Schizosaccharomyces pombe: one gene and its partner. The protein of the gene in region 2 purifies or fractionates together with the protein of the main gene of each other region. This does not show direct contact. Each region holds a gene or a part of one and is shown on either strand. Other genes may lie near its edges.

Region 1 (6,975 bases), on a different chromosome or scaffold from region 2:
TGAAGTTCAAAGATTTCAACAGCAATGTACGCATAGACTTGGAATATTATGGTAAAGAGTGCAAAGAGAAAAAGCAGATGTGGTTTACCCAATGTCAAACAAGGGAATAGTCAGAAATATTAGAAAAAGAGAGATGGAAAAAGAAAAGATATTGATACCATGAATTAAATGTCTCGACCAACTGGATTTTACACCAATTGTGCTGTCGTGCACGAAATTGGTGGTGGAGCTACCTAAGATTCTACCTTGTACCGAATAACACAATGCGATAGAATACAATACGGCAAGATGACTATTGAAAATGCTAATTACAATTTGGATAAAGAAAAGAGACGCTGACTAAAAATTAATGTAAAACGTTATCTACTAGTTTATGTGCTTTACCATTCTTATCTTTATTTTATATACCGTGTACATTTAGCTCTGCTATCATTATATAACAAATATCAATGACTGCACGTAAATATACATTAGGATTACAAGTTTTAATATGTTAAGTGGTGATTTGCAATCCCTTTGATCACGTTAACTTATTATTATGACGCGCAATTCATTCACGCTAACCTAAGATTATCAAAAAATTATCAGTCCAAAGATTGATCAAGCTTGGTCAAGCTAAATTATGGAGTGTTAGTGACTTGAAGCGATCGTCGAACCTTTCGTCAAATATCAAACGAGGAATGGTTGTAAACATTTTAGACAATAACTTATAAATTGCTATATAGCGTGTCATCAAACCCCCCTAGTGCGTTATTCTACAGGGAAGCAAAGGAAAGAGAAATACAAACGATTTGTTATTAGAAAAGTAATTTGGTAGAAGCTACAAATGTAGGGTAATTTTGAAAGAGAAAAGGAAATGTATTTCATGAAGGGGACGCATTAGAATTTACTATTTCCACCTCATATTCACTCTTAATATCCCAGATGTTTTTGTGACACTTTGAAAACAAGTACTTATTAATTGACTATGTGGTATAAACCCATGGATCAAAAACCATTAGTTAAACAATATTCTTAACGTTTTTGTATCGCAACGTTTTCGTATCGAAACGCTTTAGTATCGCTAATGTCAAAGATGAAAAAATCTAAATTATACGCATGCATATCTTGGCCACCTGTGCTAAAACCGCCTACCGTTTGTCCCAAACGTTTCAATCCCAACTGATAAAAAAAGTGATTTTCTCTTTAACTTAATAAAAATCTAAAGATTTATTTTCCACTCATCCTTTCAAAGGCAATCCGAGCGTTTTGCTATCTCCGTGAAATTTTTTCCTTTTGCCCATCGTGATTGATAATTTTTTGAACATATTCATCAGAATTGTCCATGCACATTCATTTACATCTACAATGATACCTCGATGTTCGTTTTTGCCAACCTTCTGAAGGATGCAAAGTCGCAGATGAAATCATGAGTTTCGTCTATTGTTTCTTTCGATCATCCGAATATCCCCATAGAAAATCGTTTGCCTTGCAAATTGGTATCGGTTGCCGATGGCCAAGTGTACCGACCACATTTTTTATCTATCACCGCTTAGCGAGCTGGATATGGGAAGTTTAGGAAATGTTGCCCGAGCATAGATTGTAATTGAGAAGGTTAAAATCCGCAATCAAAAGTTGGAAATTTGTCGTGCGAGACGAATTATAAAAGGAAAGCGATTTCCTACGAAAACAGCATCTTTTTTTAAAAAACAAAGTATTATCATTCACATTTTGAGGTTTTTGTTTTTTTGTTTCTTTTTTTTCCTGCTTTTGCATAGAACTTAGCAAAAGAGTTTCATTGTAAACATTTGTTTTTATTTTTTATTTTTATTTTTTTAATTTTACTTTCTACTGCCTTAAGTTAAGGTTCTCCTCCATTTAGACTATACTTTTCTATTCAACATGTCTTCTACTGCCACCGTTACTGAAAGCACTCATTTTTTTCCCAATGAGCCTCAAGGCCCTAGCATTAAGACCGAAACTATTCCCGGTCCCAAAGGTAAGGCCGCTGCTGAAGAAATGTCCAAATACCACGACATCAGCGCTGTCAAGTTTCCTGTAGACTATGAAAAGTCCATTGGTAACTATCTTGTCGACTTGGATGGTAACGTTCTCTTGGATGTTTACTCTCAAATCGCTACTATCCCCATTGGCTACAACAATCCTACTCTCCTCAAGGCTGCCAAGTCGGACGAAGTCGCTACCATTTTAATGAACCGTCCTGCTTTGGGAAATTACCCTCCTAAGGAATGGGCTCGTGTCGCTTATGAGGGTGCCATCAAATATGCCCCCAAGGGTCAAAAGTATGTTTACTTTCAAATGAGTGGAAGTGATGCCAACGAGATTGCTTACAAGCTTGCTATGCTTCATCATTTCAACAACAAGCCTAGACCTACTGGTGATTACACTGCTGAAGAGAACGAGAGCTGCTTAAACAACGCTGCTCCTGGATCTCCCGAAGTTGCTGTTCTCTCTTTCCGTCACTCTTTCCACGGACGTCTCTTTGGTTCTCTTTCCACTACTCGCTCCAAGCCTGTTCACAAGCTTGGTATGCCTGCTTTCCCATGGCCTCAAGCTGATTTCCCTGCTTTGAAGTATCCTTTGGAAGAGCACGTCGAAGAGAATGCAAAGGAGGAGCAACGCTGCATTGACCAGGTCGAGCAAATTTTAACTAACCACCATTGCCCTGTCGTTGCCTGTATCATTGAGCCCATTCAATCTGAGGGTGGTGACAACCATGCCTCTCCTGACTTTTTCCACAAGCTTCAAGCTACTTTGAAGAAGCATGATGTCAAGTTTATCGTCGATGAAGTCCAAACTGGTGTCGGCTCTACCGGTACTTTATGGGCTCACGAGCAATGGAATTTACCCTATCCTCCTGACATGGTTACCTTTTCCAAGAAATTCCAGGCTGCCGGTATTTTCTATCATGATTTGGCTCTTCGTCCTCATGCTTATCAGCACTTCAATACTTGGATGGGTGACCCATTCCGTGCTGTTCAATCTAGATATATTCTTCAAGAAATTCAAGACAAGGATCTCCTTAATAACGTCAAGTCTGTTGGCGATTTCTTGTATGCTGGACTTGAAGAGCTTGCTCGTAAGCACCCTGGCAAAATCAACAACCTCCGCGGTAAGGGAAAGGGTACTTTTATCGCTTGGGATTGTGAGTCTCCTGCAGCCCGTGACAAATTCTGTGCTGACATGAGAATTAATGGTGTCAACATTGGTGGCTGTGGTGTAGCTGCTATTCGTCTTCGTCCTATGCTTGTATTCCAAAAGCACCATGCTCAAATCCTTCTCAAGAAGATTGACGAATTGATTTAAATTTTCCCTTTTTTTGTAAAAAAACAGAAAAAAAAAGAAAGATCACACTTTTTGTTCCCATGAACACCTATTCCGCATTTATGTCAACTAAAATTTGGATGGCCGATATTGCTGTTCTGTTTGTTTTGTAGTTTAATATTAGTTAATTTTATCATAATAGTCAAAAATATATGATTTCTATCAGATACAAATTTGTTCGCTGTATGAAGAGAAAAACAAATCGTTCTATCAAACATTGAAATTGTGATATAGTAGCTTAATAGTTAGGACTGATTATATTGCTAGCTATCTTGGCAATGAGAATGAAGTAGTGTTGGAATAAAAGTGACGCCGTAAATGCTAACTAATTAGCAGCAAAAGGTGGAAAAAACAAATTTATAGTTGTTACCCAAGAATTGAGACGATGCTCGGTTGGCAAACCTACTAGAACACATTTGCTTTAATTTCATTAATCTTTAAAAAAATCATTTGCCATGAAAGTGTGCTAGACAAAAAGGGGGAAATGACTGGTGTTAAAAAAACTTATAAAATTCATATCAATAGAATAGGGCCATTACAAAGGAAATAAGAAAACTAAAAAACTGATGAGAGCAATTGGATAGCTCTATAACACTTAATCTAACGTGGATTAATCCTTGAAGGTAGAAAACAAGCCCAGATTCCGGCGAAGCGACTGGCCAAAGTGAAACCCTTTCTCTTGGAGCTTTAAGAATTGGAAAATATGGCGAACAAAAACCCACATCCCTCCGCTTAAAAATGGATATAGAACGTGATCACGAAGAGTAATTAATGCAACTAAAAAGGCAGACCCATTTGCACGCTGAATAGATTGGAGATATGACTGTTGGAATCGCAAGTCCGGTATTGGGGGAGCTGTAGGAACAGTATATTCGACAGCTTCACTGTGATCCGTACCAGAGCTACTAGGAGATATCACTGTTTTTCCCTCGAATATAGTGGGAAGCTCTGCCTCTTCGACGGCAGATTCTGAATCCTCAGTTTCCCAATTACTGCTATCATCTTCTTCTTTACTCTGGAGCAAACTAAGAGAACTTGTTGAGCTCTCTACAGCACCAAGTTCATACTTGTTATGCAACGTTGAGTTCTCAGGAATACTTTCGTTCACGTCTATCTTCTTTAGTTGATTATTGATAATTATAGTGGATGAACTCAAATGTTCCATTCGCAGTGGAGAAGACGCGTATCCTGAATCTCCATGAGCACTTCGAATGCCTGATCTTTGCAAAGCGTCTTGACTGGAGCCTAAGCTGATCAATTCGTAATCTTCTTCCCACGAACTAACGTCGCTGGTTTTGTTAGAATCAGAGCGGGGAATTGGTATTCCTTTGCTTTCAGAAGACATTAATAAAGCTTCTCTAAAATCAATGTCTAATGAACAGAAATGGGTAAGCACAAGAATGATCCCAATTCTTTGTTGTTTACGTTAATATGGATTCCCGATAGCGCCACATCTACGGTGTTGCGCGATAATTGTATTACACAAAACTACGTTAAGGGCACATGTATCTTTTGAATAAGTTAAGCAATAAAGATATAACATTTTAAATGTCAGGATGCTGAAAGCAATAATTAAAGATAATGATATTATTAATTTATTAAATCTAACGGTCAAATTTTCGGTGACTCTAAGGAACGAAATGACTAACGGGTAACTTCGTATGCAAAATTTTAAAACTCATAAAATAAATTCTTTAGTAAACAAAACACCATCGGACAAAACAAATATCAAAAATTAAGAAAAAGTATGCCAACAAGACAAATATGGTAATGTAGCATTTATGACGAAGAAATGAGTGCGGACTTCTTTAACTTTTCAAAATAGGTAGAAAGGGATGTTCTAAAAGTTGCTGGTAACCAAGCACCATTACAAATACATAGCACTTTCAAATTTCGATGGTATGTCAAATCTGGTAATAACTTTGGAGTGACTAAGAAGTATTGTGAAACAGCGTTGTCACACACTGAATTGACGATATGCCTATGCACAACTCGTTCATTTCGAGGATCCATTCCTTGATTTATTTCATCAACTATTCGAAACGGAGCAATTGCCAAACCTTGTAAAGATAATAAATACATTATAGTAGATACAGAACGTTCTCCACCAGATTGTCGTTGACCCGTAAGTTTTTGAAGTCCTTCTTCCTCTCGAAATTGTACTAAAATATCGATATACCATTTATCATAATCGTCGGATTTCCCTAGTCGAACTTCTCCAGCATATCCCATTCCACTCATTCCTTTAGAAAATCTATCGCTAATACATTGAACATTCTCCTCTAACTTACTAACCCAATCCTCTTTGATTGAGTTCATCTCGTCTTGGAGCTCTTCAACGGATTGATCAAAGTCTGACATTTTCGATTCTAGTTCCTCAATTTCTTTTTTACGCGCATCATATTGTTCCATAACGTAACTATTAACATTCATAAACTTCAGTTTCGTTTCTTCGATGCTAATTTTGTTATCCACTTCCGAACTAGTAGCAAATTCTTCATTTAATTCAGTTATTGCCGTTTGTCTGTCAGATGATTGTGTCTGCAATGAATCAACCACTGAACCGTACAAGGACATAGCATCCTCCCTTGCTGAGGCTAACTTATCGGTAATATCTTTAAGACGATCTTGTACTTCTGTCAATCGAGCGTTGACTTGGTTGGCATCCATCTCGTGTTTTTCAAGTTTGTATTTCGCTTCTATGACATTAAGTCTACTTCCCAACATCTTCTCGAAATTATTCGTAGCTTTAATTGAATTCTCCTTAACTTTTAACACCGAATTCATAAGAGCTTCGAAGTTCTCTTTCCTGATATCTTCATTTTTTTCAATTTCAGCTGCAAATTGCTCAGGAACTTTCTCTCTTTGTCTTAGTAGAAGAGTTTGGTGTTCTATTCTTTCTTGTAATTGTTGCCATTCGTGAATAGGAATTAATTTTTCGTCACGCTCTTTTCGTAGAGTAGATAATATATCGTTTGTACGAGAAAGCAGCGATTCGTGCTCATTTACCTTTTCTTGTAACTTTCTTTCCTCATTCTGTAAATTTTCCAATTGAGAGAGTTGAGCATTTAGTTGCTCCTCCTTTCGCTTTACCAAATCCATCTCAACGTTCTCGGAAAAATATATACTGCGAGAAGGTAATGGGTCTGTTCGCCTAGTAATTTCTCTATCACCGTAAGCTGAACGAAAAACCAAGTGGATAGATGAGCCCGCCAAGTAAGTTTTAAGAACTGGATCCCCGTTAGCCAGACGAAAATTGTTTAACGCATTCACTGATGCGGGAGGTAGTTCCCTTTTTGCAATCGGAATTTGATGAATTTTTAACATATGGCACAAAGCAACCAAAACCACTTCTGGCCCCTCTAAAAAATCGATCACATATCCGTCAAACCCGAAAGACTGAAGCTTCTCACGAGAGCATGGAGGTTCAAAATCTTCTATCTTCTTTTTTCGTTCACTGGAGAATTCTCTTATAGTAGGAGTGTACTTAGTTTTTGAAGTGATAAGATCCATTAACTTTAGATAATCATTATAATTTGACATTATAAATGTTCGAAACGTATCCGTGCGAAAAAACCCTTCTATCAAAGCTGCAAACCCTTTTTCCTTACATTTCAAATTCATATAAATTGGGCCGTATGCGGGTGCTTC
Region 2 (4,163 bases):
TAGTTCATCTAGCGACTGCTTTTTTTCATAGTCACTATTGAAGTAACAGTATTTTTTTGCTATATAAAGTGGTATTATGGTCACTTTACATTACCGTACTCGCTCAAGACAGTGCGAATAGGAAGGTTTTTTACCCGCATGGTATTTTGCTATGCATTCGTATTTGCTATTCACTGAGCGTATATAAATGAATGGATCTTTTAAGAGCTTGCTAACAAGATAACCTACTTGTACGCGAGTGTCAGAAGGTCCACATATTTGCTATAGATTAAAATTTATTATTACATTTAAAACAGATTCGTTAACAAAGAACCTTTTGAAATTACTTGAGTTAATGGTTTATTCTTTTCGCGAAATTCTATATCGCTGTAATTTGTGTGATCGTAGACTTCCTATTTGTGTTGGATGCGTACTAAAGTTTGCTTGGAATCCTGTTAATACATGTTTTTAAAAACCACTGAAAGTGTATAGCAATGCTTGTAGAGCGTATATCCAAGATTTAAATAATATGCTATGTAATTCTGTGCGATGGGTAATATAGTTAATTATTTAAATAGCTATAAAATATAGAACGACTACTGTTTAGGTTTGTCCATGCTACATCTTGGAAGAAAATAGAAATATAGTATTCTTGTTGGCTAATGCAATAAATCTTCAAGTTTATATAGCAAATTGTGAAGTCAGTATTCGTAAATTTGACAAAAATTTAATGATAATTTATTTTTTCAGATTTGCTGACTTTAAGTAGTCGGTATCTGCTTTTTATGCATAAACAAGAAGATTCAGTTCGAGGATCAGAATCCTTTTTTGTATCATCAAACTTGAAATTGTCTTATAACATCATTAAAGCCAACCGAGTGTACCAAGCATGCGATAATGTAAGTTTTAAGAATCATTCAAAAGTATATTTTTCAAAGCTTGAGCAACGACAGAAATAACCTGTAAAATTCTAATGAATCAATGGGCTGTGCAATCAATTTATAATCAGTTGAGATTTGTTGCTCTGAGAATAGTAATACTTACACGCCTTTACAAATAAGCGTGTTTTAGTCATTAAGTTAGAGCACTATCGTTGTTCGAATACAATAACAATTATTTAAAAAAGCGATGTGATGAGGAAAACAACAAAAAGCGTAGTACTGTCATTCAAATCAAAGTAATGTAAAAATAATGAACAATTTTAAACAATGATGATAGCTTCGATACTTGTCTCACAGCTCATATAAATCTTCGTTGACACCTTTTTCTATACTATGCTACTCAAATCAATTTGTCGGTCCGAAGAAGCGATGTATAACGTGTCACATAATGTTAATATAAAGGGCATAAATAAAATCAAAAGTAATTATACTTAAAAAACAGAAGAAGGAAGCTCAAGGAAAACGATCATAAATAAATTAAATGCAAAGGAAATTAAATGTTATTTTGCAAATATAAACACAATTCATTTGGGCTTAATTCGTTTTCCATCCCTTGAGCATATATATTCTTTGCATTGTGCCAAAGAAGCTCTTAATATTGTGGGAAAAGAAAATAAAAACAATAAAACTAAAGAAAACGATCATTAAAGAGAGTGCAAAGCTGAAACCATAATACATCTGAGAGAAACATGAGTTAAGCATTCGAGTATCTCAAATTTTATGAATACTCGCCTCAGCTTAAAATGAAAAAATAAAAAAATCACGAATAAGCAAACACCATTTCCCTCAAATATTAAAGATAAATTTCCTCGCACAGCTATGCTTCATTTTAGGCTTGAATATACTGATGTCTTTGAATAGAATAAATCCTAGTATGACCTGGAGCCCAACCAAGAGAGTGGATAAATGCATGAGCAAAGATCTCCCCGAATCCCAACATAACTCCATTCAAGAAAGGAAGGCCCAAATTAATTGCCGCATACTTGAAAATATGAATAACTTGTGAAAACAAGGTTTTTGGAACTGTAACTGTATTTTTCTCCATCCTGCTTGTCCAACAAATACTATAACGAAACGAACCAACCGGTAATCAACACAATTTTCAAATAACTCCTTTAGAGAAGTTTTTATATCAACTTTCAAAGCAATTGCACGAATAATATTTTTGGCGTAAATTCTATTATTAAGAATCAACTGAGTTGATGGGGCAAGTATATGTGGAAGGATACTTTATTCCCAATCAAAATTACGAGTGTCCCGTTCTTAGATGCTGTCAACGCTTTAAGGCGTCAGGACAATGGTTAATGAGCAAAACACTTTCCTCCTTATTCATTTAACGAAATTAAGTTAGTAACTAATACCGTAATGCAAGCTCTGACAAAATATAAAATGCGACATCTTTCATCATACATATATAGCGGTGAACACAACATTCGTCTTCACTAGGGAAGAGTATCACGGATCTTTTAACTGCTTCCATTACGAGCATCGAATAGTCCAAACCCAAATTAAGTGTTCTCTGGGGTTTGCAAAGCTCAGAAGCAACTTCTATTGACTCTGCAGGACTTCGGTTCATGACTACCCGCTCGTGATCTTAATTTAGATCGATCTTTTTGTCAAACAGATTAACAATACTTATTTCATTAACGGCTACTGGGAAATTTTGATTTATTTAAGTTGTACTGAGTTCAAAAGCCCTTGAATCTTTCAAACACCATTTTTTGTTTTTGAAATTGCCTGGGAAATTGTATTACAGATTTTGGAAAATTTCGTCCTAGTCTGAAGTGTCCTCTTTTTTTCTACTTAGGTAAAGTTTTTTTTTCTTTTATATACCGATTTCCTTCTTTTTAGAATGCGTCCCTCTGTAATCACGGTTGCTGTTCTTTTTGTACAGTCGACATGGGCTTCTTTTGCATTTGGCAACCCTATGAGTATGCGAAATAAAGCGCATACAAATGATTTAGTTAATAGCAAAGGAAAACCACTTGTTGGTAGATTTTTGCATATCACCGATATGCATCCTGACATTTATTACGAAAAAGGATCCACCGTCGATCATTATTGTCATTCCTATGATCATAATTCTGACGATACTCCCTTGGGTAAAAGCAAAGTGGGTTACCTCTCTCCTGGTCCTGGTTATGAATGTGATTCTTCACCAGCATTAATTGATAAGACATTGGAATGGCTTAAGGAACATCAAGATGATGTTCTGGGAGGCATTGACTTCATACTGTGGACTGGTGATAATTCTAGGCATGACAATGATAACCATTTTCCAAGAACACAAAGTGAAATTCTTGCTTCAAATGAGGACTTGGTTAATAAAATGATAGAGGCGTTTCCTGACGTTCCAATTGTTTCCGCTATCGGGAATAATGATATATATCCTCATAACATTATGGAAGCTGGTCCATCTTCAATGACTCGACAACTAGCTGGTGCTTGGGATGCTTTAATTCCTTATGAGGAACGACACACTTTTGAAAAGGGCTCTTATTACCTATGTGATGTGATTCCGGACAAGCTAGCAGCAATTTCCATTAACACTCTTTACCTATCAAACAAAAATGCCGCGGTCGATGGTTGTCCTGATGATAATCTAGACGAACCTGGTTCTCTTTTTATGCGATGGTTCAAAATACAGCTTGAAGCGTATCGGCTAAAGGGAATGAAAGTTTGGCTTCTAGGACATATTCCCCCTACAAGGGGCCAGTGGTATGAAGATTGTTATACTTCTTTTACGGATTTGCTTTATGAGTTTCGAGATATTATAGTTGGACAACTCTATGGTCATATGAACATAAACCATTTTGTGTTTTTGGAATTCGATAAGTTACCTGTTGATACAGAATCTTATGGAATCAAAAGTGCGCAACCAAAATATGTAAAATCTTTAATTGATGCCCAATACGCGGAGCTTCCTACATTTCCCGAGAATTTAACAGAGGAGTTTCTTAATGGAACCGTCGGGAATTACTCCTTGGCTACCGTTGGTGGTTCGATTATACCTGAAATGTTTCCAACTTTTCGCGTTTACGAGTACAATATTTCTGATATTGCTAATCAGCTGGATGATCGGGAAGAGCTAACTGAAATCACTTCTTTTAACTGGGAAACGCTTGAAGAGCAGTCTCAATCAGATTATGAGATAGACAAGAAAAAGAAGAAAAAAAAGAAGAATAATAAAAAAAAGAAGAAGAACAAGAGGAAGAATATTAAGCCCGGTCCTTTGGGACCGGC

What was found.
Region 1: the proteins of mim1 (region 2) and atg43 purify together in Schizosaccharomyces pombe (affinity purification with western blotting; one study listed by BioGRID). This does not show direct contact.

The regions. Positions count from the first base shown.
Region 1 is NC_003424.3:5,221,303-5,228,277, forward strand, and holds atg43 (mitophagy receptor Atg43), read right to left. Parts: upstream 4,748-6,975; 5' UTR 4,670-4,747; coding exon 3,935-4,669; 3' UTR 3,307-3,934; coding exon of another isoform or gene 1,882-3,306; 3' UTR 501-1,881; downstream 1-500. Other genes in the region: SPOM_SPAC19D5.10C (uncharacterized protein), read right to left, coding at 85-339, 409-417; uga1 (4-aminobutyrate aminotransferase (GABA transaminase)), read left to right, coding at 1,882-3,306; Smc5-6 complex SMC P-loop ATPase subunit Smc5, read right to left, coding at 5,104-6,975. UniProt on the Schizosaccharomyces pombe protein: Mitophagy receptor that tethers atg8 to the mitochondrial outer membrane to promote selective autophagy.
Region 2 is NC_003423.3:880,262-884,424, reverse strand, and holds mim1 (MIM complex subunit Mim1), read right to left. Parts: upstream 1,966-4,163; coding exon 1,750-1,965; 3' UTR 510-1,749; downstream 1-509. Other genes in the region: SPOM_SPBC713.07C (polyphosphatase), read left to right, coding at 2,773-4,163. UniProt on the Schizosaccharomyces pombe protein: Component of the mitochondrial outer import machinery (MIM) complex that mediates transport of proteins into mitochondrial compartments. Promotes the insertion of tom70 into the outer mitochondrial membrane.